2 linked regions of the Neodiprion lecontei genome follow. The protein of the gene in region 2 binds, or shares a complex with, the protein of the main gene of each other region. Links are inferred from orthologs where the notes say so. Each region holds a gene or a part of one and is shown on either strand. Other genes may lie near its edges. The genes, in order: ciliogenesis and planar polarity effector 2 and protein fuzzy homolog.

The links.
Region 1: the proteins of protein fuzzy homolog (region 2) and ciliogenesis and planar polarity effector 2 are in contact, whole or in part, in a cryo-EM structure (PDB 7Q3E), measured with the Mus musculus proteins. The link is inferred for Neodiprion lecontei from reciprocal best matches to the Homo sapiens genes FUZ and CPLANE2. Residues at the interface, in NP_081652.2 of Mus musculus: Arg26, Arg35, Ile109, Val110, Lys126, Glu127, Arg129, Ala130, Tyr132, Cys133, Asp136, Gln215, Ala216, Ala217, Arg218, Asp219, Tyr220, Pro221, Tyr223, Pro232, Leu238, Thr239, Leu240, Leu241, Arg242, Pro255, Leu256, Gly257, Gln258, Pro261; in NP_001074643.1 of Mus musculus: Glu36, Gly38, Leu39, Leu40, Glu41, Arg42, Val83, His84, His85, Glu86, Thr88, Gly89, Ile90, Gln91, Thr92, Thr93, Val94, Lys124, Phe125, Met128, Glu134.

The regions. Positions count from the first base shown.
Region 1 is NC_060266.1:22,997,091-23,002,373, forward strand, and holds ciliogenesis and planar polarity effector 2, read left to right. Parts: upstream 1-1,817; 5' UTR 1,818-1,890; coding exon of another isoform or gene 1,891-2,060; exon of another isoform or gene 2,061-2,231; intron 2,232-3,042; 5' UTR 3,043-3,091; coding exon 3,092-3,191; intron 3,192-3,686; coding exon 3,687-3,961; intron 3,962-3,966; exon of another isoform or gene 3,967-4,105; coding exon 4,106-4,242; exon of another isoform or gene 4,243-4,361; coding exon 4,362-4,569; 3' UTR 4,570-4,608; downstream 4,609-5,283. Other genes in the region: non-lysosomal glucosylceramidase, read right to left, coding at 139-422, 857-1,037, 1,174-1,262, 1,891-2,060; gamma-aminobutyric acid receptor exp-1-like, read right to left, coding at 4,758-4,904, 4,967-5,080, 5,149-5,283. UniProt on the Homo sapiens protein: Required for efficient primary cilia initiation, regulating a late step in cilia initiation. Plays a role in the final maturation of the mother centriole and ciliary vesicle that allows extension of the ciliary axoneme.
Region 2 is NC_060262.1:40,691,081-40,695,975, forward strand, and holds protein fuzzy homolog, read left to right. Parts: upstream 1-1,972; 5' UTR 1,973-2,036; coding exon 2,037-2,114; exon of another isoform or gene 2,115-2,123; coding exon of another isoform or gene 2,124-2,162; intron 2,163-2,361; coding exon 2,362-2,754; intron 2,755-3,049; coding exon 3,050-3,247; intron 3,248-3,367; coding exon 3,368-3,567; intron 3,568-3,674; coding exon 3,675-4,068; 3' UTR 4,069-4,371; downstream 4,372-4,895. Other genes in the region: beta-galactosidase-1-like protein 2, read left to right, coding at 57-244, 329-573, 656-1,169. UniProt on the Homo sapiens protein: Probable planar cell polarity effector involved in cilium biogenesis. May regulate protein and membrane transport to the cilium.

The sequences.
Region 1 (5,283 bases), on a different chromosome or scaffold from region 2:
TAAATAAAACTACAAACGCGAGTTCGAGAAAAAACCTGACGTGATGGAATTTTGTATTGTTCCCGGTTTCAGAGAGTGAAAATCTATACTGTGACACGTAAAGATGATTGTTTCGAATAACTTGAATTATTCACGAACCTTCCTTGTCGCTGATTTTGTTTCCGTTACCATTCCTGAACGTGAACGTGACACTGACGTAGAGATCCTGATCGGAGCGGTTTTCAACGTCCCAAATGAAGACAGCGCAAGGCAGTGAACTGTCTTTGTAATTATTCGGTATCACCGGAGACACTTGACGACACGTTAATCTAACTTTGTGATCCTCTATATCGTAGGTTGTCCAAGCACGAGGGTAAAGCCCCGTATACGAGGCTTTCGAACCGTCAAATCCCCATTTCCAAGACTTCAGGCATTTCGGTTTGCTAAAAATAATAAATACGGTCAGACAGGTGTGTCAACGGATAGTTTCGCTACAAAAATTTGAAAAATTGAATTGAACGTCAACATTTTTCTACAAAATTTTCTTTTTTCATAACGTCCCTGGTGAAAATGATTTCTACAATTTTCTACGAATTTTTAGAGAATTTGTAACAGTACGTATAATTTTACAAAATTGTAAGTATGCATAGTTTCTCATAAAATCTTGTAGATTTGAATGAAGATTTGTATTTTTTTAGTGAAAAAATCTAAATGACACAATTTTTAAACAAAATTAATAATTCTTCATGAAAAACTATGCATATTTACAATTTTGTACGAAATAATACGAAATGTTCCAATTTCTGCGTAAAGTCGTAGTAGTAGAAATTTTCGCCAGGGGTGATAAATATTTATTTTAGGATATTAATAATATCACCTCTCGGTCGACAGAACTTGATGGTAAACAGTTTTTCCGGTGGCGTCTTGAATCGTGAGGATGAATTGATTGGCCAGAACAGTTTCGTACTCGTATATACCAGGTCGCAAACTGTATCTGCAGAATTCGCCTCTGAACCCGCGATTCATCGACCCACCTCCAATTCCGCCGATTGGTACACCTGCGTGTATAATTTTTCGATCTGATAATTGAGTACAGACTAGACAATGAGTTCCGGGTACATCTTAAATATCACGGAGTGAAGAAACATAAGAAAAACCTGAGGTAAAACAAGATGAAGAATTCGCTTTTCTCACCGTAAATCTGTTTTCCAGTCTGCATATTTACGTAATCCATCATTGGTCTTCGACCTCCTCTCGTTGTCCTTGCGAAAAACGAGACATACCTGCAAAAATGGCAATGAAAAATTAATAAAAACTCAATGATTCGCTAATGTTCGCGTTTTCATTATCCAGATGGGACGATTGATTGATTTTTAAATACAAATTATCAGTTTGAAATTCAGTACCGAATCAGTTCACAGAAAATCTAATATCAATTCCTACATTCGGACTGCGGTAGATCCGGATTTCCTTTAATAGTTTGCCGACGTGATATAGAATTTAAAAAATGAAGAGTATTAACAACCTAAGCGTTTCATACAGTAAAATATGAATTCCATGTTTTAGAAATCCAAAAATCGATAAGCTCTTGATGTTTTCTAATTCGAACCGTTCAAATACCATCAGAAACGTTTTGAAAATCTATCATTCGACATTTAAATCGGATAAACGAAAAAAAAAAATGTGCTGGAAAAAACTATTCCTGAAACGTTGAATTTCAAATATTCAAACTCCGTTCGAATTTCCCGCCATTCGAATTCACGCGCTAACGTCGTGCAATCTGAATAAACGAGCGAGTCGGGTGCGCAATGAGTTGTGCGCATGTTTACTCGGGGCGTTTCTTACGCGACTAGATACCGCGTTGTTCACGTTATAAATAATTGACTGGAAGATGCAAAGCATCGAACGAACCTGTAGGCGAGCGGCAAAAGCTGAGGAAGTTGCTTGAGGCGCACGGTTGCAGCTTGTTTCCATTTTTCTGGGTACTTGTGGTTGAGTTTTAACTTAAAACCGTAATCCGGCGGGGGTTTAACGACCCGCTCGACTTTTCCGTTGACTTTCGGGGCCTGAACGTCGTCCATGACGATTCGACGCGACGCCTGGATTTAAACGACTATGCGCGTCACTCGCTCGACGCGATTAGACTAAAAGCGTTTAAGGTTTCCTGGTGCGTTTAGAAGGCCCGTCGATAGAATTCGGCATCCTCGACTTTGTCCCGCTTATCAGCGTAACGCAACGCGGCACACGTGCATGTAATAGACCAGTAAATAAATTAAGCATGAAAGTTACCACTTTTTCATATTAAGCCGGAAACTTGATCTAAGGGTAATTCGATGACGCTGAATCAAATGGTGATAATAATTTTGCAATCAACCGCCGAGATTATTGTAGAAAAAAAAGTTTAAACCGTAAAAATCGGAACCTAATAACTTTGTCAGAAAATAAGTCAGACAAAAGTTGATGGGAAAAAAAAATAAAAAATCTTGAAAAGTATCCTATCTTCGTCTTCGTATTTTCAGAAATAAGGGAGAAAAAACCGAAAATCAAGCATTCGATTCGAATTACACTTAGATCAAGTTTCCGGATTCATACTTGAAAAGTACTATACTTCACTATATCCAGTGAATGCGGTGTCGATTGTTGCTCAACGATATCGAATTGTCAGCTACCGGTATGATAACATGAGGAAAAGCTGTTGTAAATATTCAAATCGCCGGTGTACAATTATGTAATCATATTTGCGACCGCTGTGTCATTGAACTGTAAACACTTTCGATAGGTACAATTGTAACGAATGGACGTTTTATCGTATTATCTATAAAGTAGCTTATCGCCACGTGTGCGTAACAAATATAAATATGGGCGGTTGATATTGGAATGATTTCATCAGATGGTTGAAAATTATCTCGTATCACAGAAAATATTGAGTAAATTCTTACAAAAATTTCAAAAACATAATTGAGACAATTTTTTCACCTCTACTTTTATCTCAATTCCAAACTAGAATATTATATGTAATCTAGAAATGGATTTTTTTTTCTGTTTACATTGACACATCCGCAGCAAAGTGAGGGAGAAAATTAAAAGCTGATTTTTCAATCTCCTTTGTAAAATGAGTAACGCGATAAAAATGGACTGGCTCAGCTCCGCCGAAGGCGAGTCGTTACTGCATCACTTTTACGCTCGTTCGACTAATAAGAGACGATTTTACGGTACGAAGGTTATACATATTAAATATTAATGGGCATAACATACACAACGTCTAATTACACTTGCCAATAATTTTTTTTATAACAACAAGGAAGATGCTTACTGATTTTGAAATACCTATCTACCCTCATCGTTATAAAACCATATATACTTTGAATCAATCAGGTCTAGATTTTGTGTTACAGCTATTCAGAGCATTTTGTTACTTACTATAAACGCCAGTTAATTAATTACAATAAATAGCAAAACAATCTTAATCAAAAAAGGTACAAAGTTTTGTTGACCAGTGTACTGTAACACCATATACAACCTGATATTTGTTCACAAAAACTGTATTTTTGAAAAAAACTAAAAAAATCATACTACAATAAAACTATTCGTATCTAAAATATTCTAATATCAATTCTATTACACTAAACCTTGTTCCTAACATAATCAGTTAAAATTTTTCACGTTACACATAAAAATTTCGATCTGAATAATTTAAAACCGTGCAGGTATATTGGAAAGACCACCGATACCATCGTCGATAGAAGAAGTCTCGTACAAAATATTCATGGCAGGAAAATCGGGTGTCGGGAAGACTTGCGTCGTGTCGCGTCTTTCCGGAATAAAAGGATCATCGTCGAGCGGAGTTTACGTCGAAACGAACGGTATAAAAAGAACGACGATATTCTGGCCTGTTAAAATATGGGACAAGGTTGTACTGTTCAAATTGCAATTCTGGGACGCATCTGAGAACAGCATCAAAAAGTACAGCCACATTTTACCCGTTGGTATACTTTAATATTATATGTATATATTTAATCGATTAATCGATTTCGATCGCCTAAAATATCGTGAAAATATCACCGCACATCACTTTAATCGTTTATTCATTTCTCTTTTTGTTTTTTTTTTTTTTTGCAACCTGCAGGCCTGCAAAGACAAAGTCGACGCGATTTGCAGTGTATTTTCCTTCGACGATACGGCGACTTTCAACGACCTTCCACAGCTGATGAACTCAATGGCAGCGACGAAAGAAAAACCAGCTAGCATCGTGGTCGGAACAAGGTGACGATATCGTTTATTTGTCAGATAATTTGATAGTATAAATCCGAGGAAAAAAAAACAAAGAAGCAGAAATAACGAATCAAAGAGTGTTTAAACAATTTCAGTTTCGATTTACGCAGGTACAAGGTTTGGTCGACGCTCGCCGTGTCCGATGTGCAGGTCAAGGAATTCGAAGACAAGTGGAAAGTGAAAGTGATAAGAATAGATACCAACAAGGCGGTGGCGAGACCCGAAATCTTCGATTGCTCCTATCAGCTGAACTGGATTTGTTCGGCGCTTTGGGACAGAGACCAAGAATTTATATCCAAACAAGTCGTACAAGTTTGATTCGACCGAAAAGATAAAGATTTTATTACAACAATCACACAAAACCTGCAATTGTAGTTTAACCGTTTTTGGTCCCAATGACTGTTGGATCCGTCCTAAAAAGAAAAAAAACCGTTGAAATAGAAACAACATAACGTATAAAACGCTGGGTAGAAAAATTTAAACAAATAAAATTTATACACTTACTCTCACCAATTGATCGTATAAATATTTTCCCCTTCGCCGTTGAATGCCGTGAAAAATATGAGGGTCGAAATTAGCAAGCCTAACGGATGCAGAAACGATATAACTTTCTCCATCCAAACGATCCATTTTTTACCAGCCTCGTGCTCGTTCTGTAAAAGAAAACGGAGTTTAATATAGCTCAGACTTTAAGCTTAGACTTAGAATCCTCCACCTCGTTGCAGCCGAAATTATCCACATCTGCCGGATTTAGATGATGAATTAGGATGCTCTCGGCCAGCGGTATGAGGATTAGAACCAGACAGATCAGAAACCAAATATCAAGGGCCTGAAAGTCGTTCAAAAGCTTAAGTGAAGCGCCGTAGTTAATCTTGGCTGTTGGCTTATCAAGTTTACCTTCAAGTGACTCAAGTTCCACGATCCGCAGTTAGAATTTAGAAACATGAAGAGAGTCCCGAGGAGAGATAATTGGCAGGTGATTATTCGCGTACGGATTCCTGTAAAATTTTCTTTCAACATACTTGTTAAATT
Region 2 (4,895 bases):
AAACATTCTTTCGTTTAATCCTTCTTTAATATTCGTTTTGCAAAACTTTTTTCCAGATTATGATTCGCCAATAACTGAAGCAGGAGACTACACACCGAAGTATCATAAAACCAAAGAGATTTTGGCAAAGCATCAAACTGTGATGACCAAATTACCAGATTTACCTGCAGAATCATCAAAAGTAGCTTATCCCACTCTGAAAATATTCGGTCATTTGGATTTTGAGGATATCCTTGATCAGTTGGTGGGTATTTTTCTCTTTACCAATGAAACCTGCGTCCTGCCCTTTTTTTGCCTCTGGTTTTTTCAAATATCTTATGTATTACAGCCTGCAGACTTGAAGGTGAAATTATCCAATGTGACCAATATGGAAAACTTGCCAATTAAAAATGGCAATGGCCAATCTTACGGATACATAAACTACCGGAAAAAGGTTGCATTGAAAACCGCGTCTACCCTGAAAATCTCTGGGTATGTGCAAGACACAGCAATGGTGCTTGTTGACGGAGAGCTGAAGAGCAAACCACTAGAAACTGAAGAAGATATTAATGGCTTTGGTTATTGGATGCAGAAGTGAGTTTTAGCACTTACCGGTCAAATAAAAAACGTGTATTTTCAGTTGATAAGACACTGACATGTGAATCAATTGTTTTAGAGATGCTGAGTTAACATTGAATTCTGATAAAGCTGGGGAAAAAACTTTGGACATCATTGTAGAAAATTGGGGACGTGTCAACTTTGGTGTCCTTGCTAATTTTGATCAGAGAAAAGGTTTGTGGCAAGGGCCAGTTTACGTCGATGACAAAGAGCTAAAAGATTGGGAAATCTATGCTCTTGAGTTTGATTCTAAGTGGGCAAAGTCTCTAACTAATTGGAAACTGGGACCGCCCTCTATCAGCACTAGAGGTCCGTCCGTTTCCCGATTCGTCATAAACTTAGCTTTACCTCAGGATACATTTATTGATTTGCGTGGTTGGACAAAGGGTTTGGTATTTGTAAACGGTTTCAATTTAGGGCGGTACTGTCACCTTGGACCAACAAGGACCCTTTACTTGCCAGCGCCTTTACTTAAGAAAGGACAAAACGAAATTTTAGTATTTGAACATTTCAAGTCAGATATTGAACTGAGCTTCTTAGATTACCCTATTTTGGGAGATTTGAAACCCTGAAGTAACAAAAAAAAAAATGTGAGAGAGCCAGACGTCATTTCTGATTATAAGTGTCATTTTACACCCGAATATCTGTCAGGGACATTTACATACAATTTCGTCAGTACCGCATGATGTTTCATGAAATCAGTTGTTGAAAGAAACGGTCACAAAGCGTTTCGTACATAACGCCAGCTTTTTTAAATACTTATCCAAGTATTGATGAAGTTCAAACATCAAAAAATAAGAACCAATTAAGCATAGTGAAGCGCTTTAGAAATCGTATAAACATATTCATTGTATCAAATTCAGGTTTGACGTCTTCTCATATCTCAATATCTTATAAATATAAGAAAGCAATTCATTAAATACGTAGAAAAAATCTATAGACAACTGAGTATATTTTATTATTTTAATCTGTATTATACTTGTATAATAATATGAATTATATGTACTTATACATATATCTATGGAAAAAGTAGAATCTTGGCAGACTTTTTGTAATGCGCATTCCTGTACAACTGGCTTTGTTAGAAAAGGGGCTATACTTCCTGAAATTTGTTAATAAAAAAATTAGGCCGTACAGCCAGAGAGAAACCTTCAAAGTTACATTACAAAGGCTTATCCAAAAGCTTTTAATTCGTCATTCTACATATCAATATACACAAGTTACCACTTTCGCAACTTTGGCCCATTCTGTACTCGTGTATACTATACCTATATCTGTGTATATCATGGGTTAATGACCTGCCCATCTACCTGCCCATGCTGGTTCAGATCCCATTCCCCTGTTCACAGGTATTAAACTTCAGGTACTCACGGCTGTGAGAACTTTGCTAAAGTACCTAAAACCTAAAACTCATATCTATAATTCTTTTTTGCTGTAAAATGACTGCTCATGTACTGTGCTTAACATCTTCCGGAGGAATACCAGTTTTTGTCCGAAAAAAAGGGGACGGTGATATGGTACAATAAATGATTTTTAACCCAAAACTTCATTGCAGTATAAAATCTGTAAGAGATTTCAATCACTGCGAATGCAAAAATACACTTCAACATTAATTGTGAATCGATTTATTTTTATAGTTGTATCTCTCTACCTTTATAACAAAGTTTTTTTTGTTCCTATGCAAATGACTGAAGTATACGAAATGCTCTAATCTTCAAAGATATTGGAGAAATTCAACTTTTATATCATGTCAAACTATTTCAGATAACGTTTTCGAAAATGGCATCGCTGAATGGTGTGCACATGTTTTTGAAGTCCCAGAACATTGAGCTACTGTGCACAGACATGCCGGACACGAATGTTGTCTGGAAAGAATTCGAGGATAGCATATTACTGATAGCCATAGCCAGCGGTACAACAAACAATGTTCTAAACAGATTTCTAGAAGCTGTTTTCAGTGCGATGATCCTCATCGTCGGTATAGATGAAATAAAAAATCCAAGGAATGTTGAGAGGCTAAAGCGAGACCTGCGTGTATGCAATCCAATTATTGACAGATTACTGGAGTGCTTAGACATCGGAGATCGGATATGCGCCAAGACTGACTTGGTCGATATGACTGACAGTATTATGAGTCCCGAGAATCACTTACTGCAGGTATCAAAGCTACAAGTTCTTTGTAAACAGCAGAAAATATCTCACAATTCTATATTTTTTCATGGTGATTGGCTTATTGATTGAACAAACATAAAAACAAATCTTGAAATTTTTCACAGTCAATTATCTTATGAGAGAAATAGCAGGTCTACTTGATTATAGATTAGTCTATTTGAATACTTGACTGTAATATGAACAAAACCAGAAAAAAGATGATGTGATGCGCAGATCATTTTAAAATGCAAGAAATTTAATTGCCCATCATTATAATTTCTGTGTTTGTGTTTTGTACTAGAGCTGCCTTGAAGGGTACATGGAATGTCTGGATTCTTTGTACGGCTGCCTTTTAGTGCATGGCTGCTTGGCGGTTGCGACTGAGAGTTGGTGGTCTTTGGACCCAATTGAAAGGAAATTACTAATAATTGCAGCAACTTGTGATGGAACTTGCACAGCGAGAGATCTTCCAGTATTCCTTCCAAATAAGAGTCCGAATGTATGAGACGATCATTTAAATATTTAGAAATGAAGTGCCTACGCGAAATGGCATCTAAAATCTTCAATAGATGTTTAAATTGATCAGCCTTACAGTTAAGAAAAAAATTATTGATTTCAGGTCGCCTTCAGATTGGTCTCTGTTACTCTGGTGAATCACGTTGAAGTTCTAGCTTTGTGTGGACCAACACCCGAGTTGGCCGAAACGGAACGATTGGCTATTCAGAGTTGGCGGAGTAGTATAGACATTCTGCGAGCTGCCGAGCAATGCTATCCCAGAAATTTTCCTGCCAGTGTATCATTGGATTCTGAGATATTAGGGTAAAATAATCTGAAGATAATTATAGTAGAGTTGACAGTAGTAAACTTTGCCCCTGACGGAAAGGAACCAGAGATATAGGGTTTATTAAAAATTTTTTCGATTCCAGATTTTTGTTGGCCAATCATGTGATAGGAAAATTTGTTCTGAGTCGGAATTCCCAAAACTCGAAGAACCGAGTCAGTGGAACACATAGATTGGATATTTTAAGAACATTTTACTATCAAGCTGTGGAAACATTTTTGCTTTCCGGCCCGTCTTCGAATCGAGATACTGAAGAAATCGACAAGTCGGTAAAGCCGTCGAAGTCGAAACACGGGCAGGTATTCGAAGGTGCTAAAGAAACTTACTGGTGTTCAGAGTTTCACAAATGTCATGCTCTCAAAGAGGGCGAGTATGTCTTTTGCGTATTATATACGTCCATAGTTCCTACACATACGATGAGACTTCTTTCCCAAAAAACTCTCAAATCGCTCCTTGCTGATAAACAAGTTTTTTGGTAGCAGTTTCTTGAAACTGTTTTTGTTTAATTATATAACGACATCGATTATTCGACTATAACATATTATACAGCTGTTAATATTTTTATAATAATAATTTCTGAAAATAAGCCTAGTGAATAAATAGAATTATATAGATACTTGACCACATTAGAACGTTACATACTTGTAGTATCAGAAAACTGGAGAATATATTTTTGTATGGAAAAAAACATAATTTTATCTTATATAATAAGAATCAAATTTTATACCAATAGATCAAAAACATAGTATGAAATTAGTTGTGACACTACATTTTGAATAATATGGGCTTCTTGACGTAAACACGCTTTTCAAGCAATTTCAAAATAACAATTTGTTTTGTTTCAGCTCAAAAATAATTTTTAATGTACGGGGACCGTGTATCCTGGCTCTTCACTATATATTCATTGATTTTTGAGGATAAAACATTACCTCAATGTTTCTGAATTTTTTTAGTTAGTCTTTATATTGTGTTCTGTAACCGTGAGCTATCGAACCCTCTTATTGTCATTAAATTTGAGAAACTGCAGATTTTTTAAATCTGTTCTGATCTCTCGACTTATTGGTTTTCGCTGGGCACATTTTGCCACCTTACCCATGTATCTAGAAATGATTTGCATCTGAGAACAACAATCCGCACGGCTGTGTGTCCGGTACATAAAGGCGTCGATGCGGATTTTGCATTATTAATCATGGCCCAAGATACTGGACATAGTGCCTGATTGATAATGACATATAATATGCATGCGTGTACAATAGATTGCCTGCCCGCAGGCGGAAAGCATCGAGCTTGAAAATGTGCGTATTTC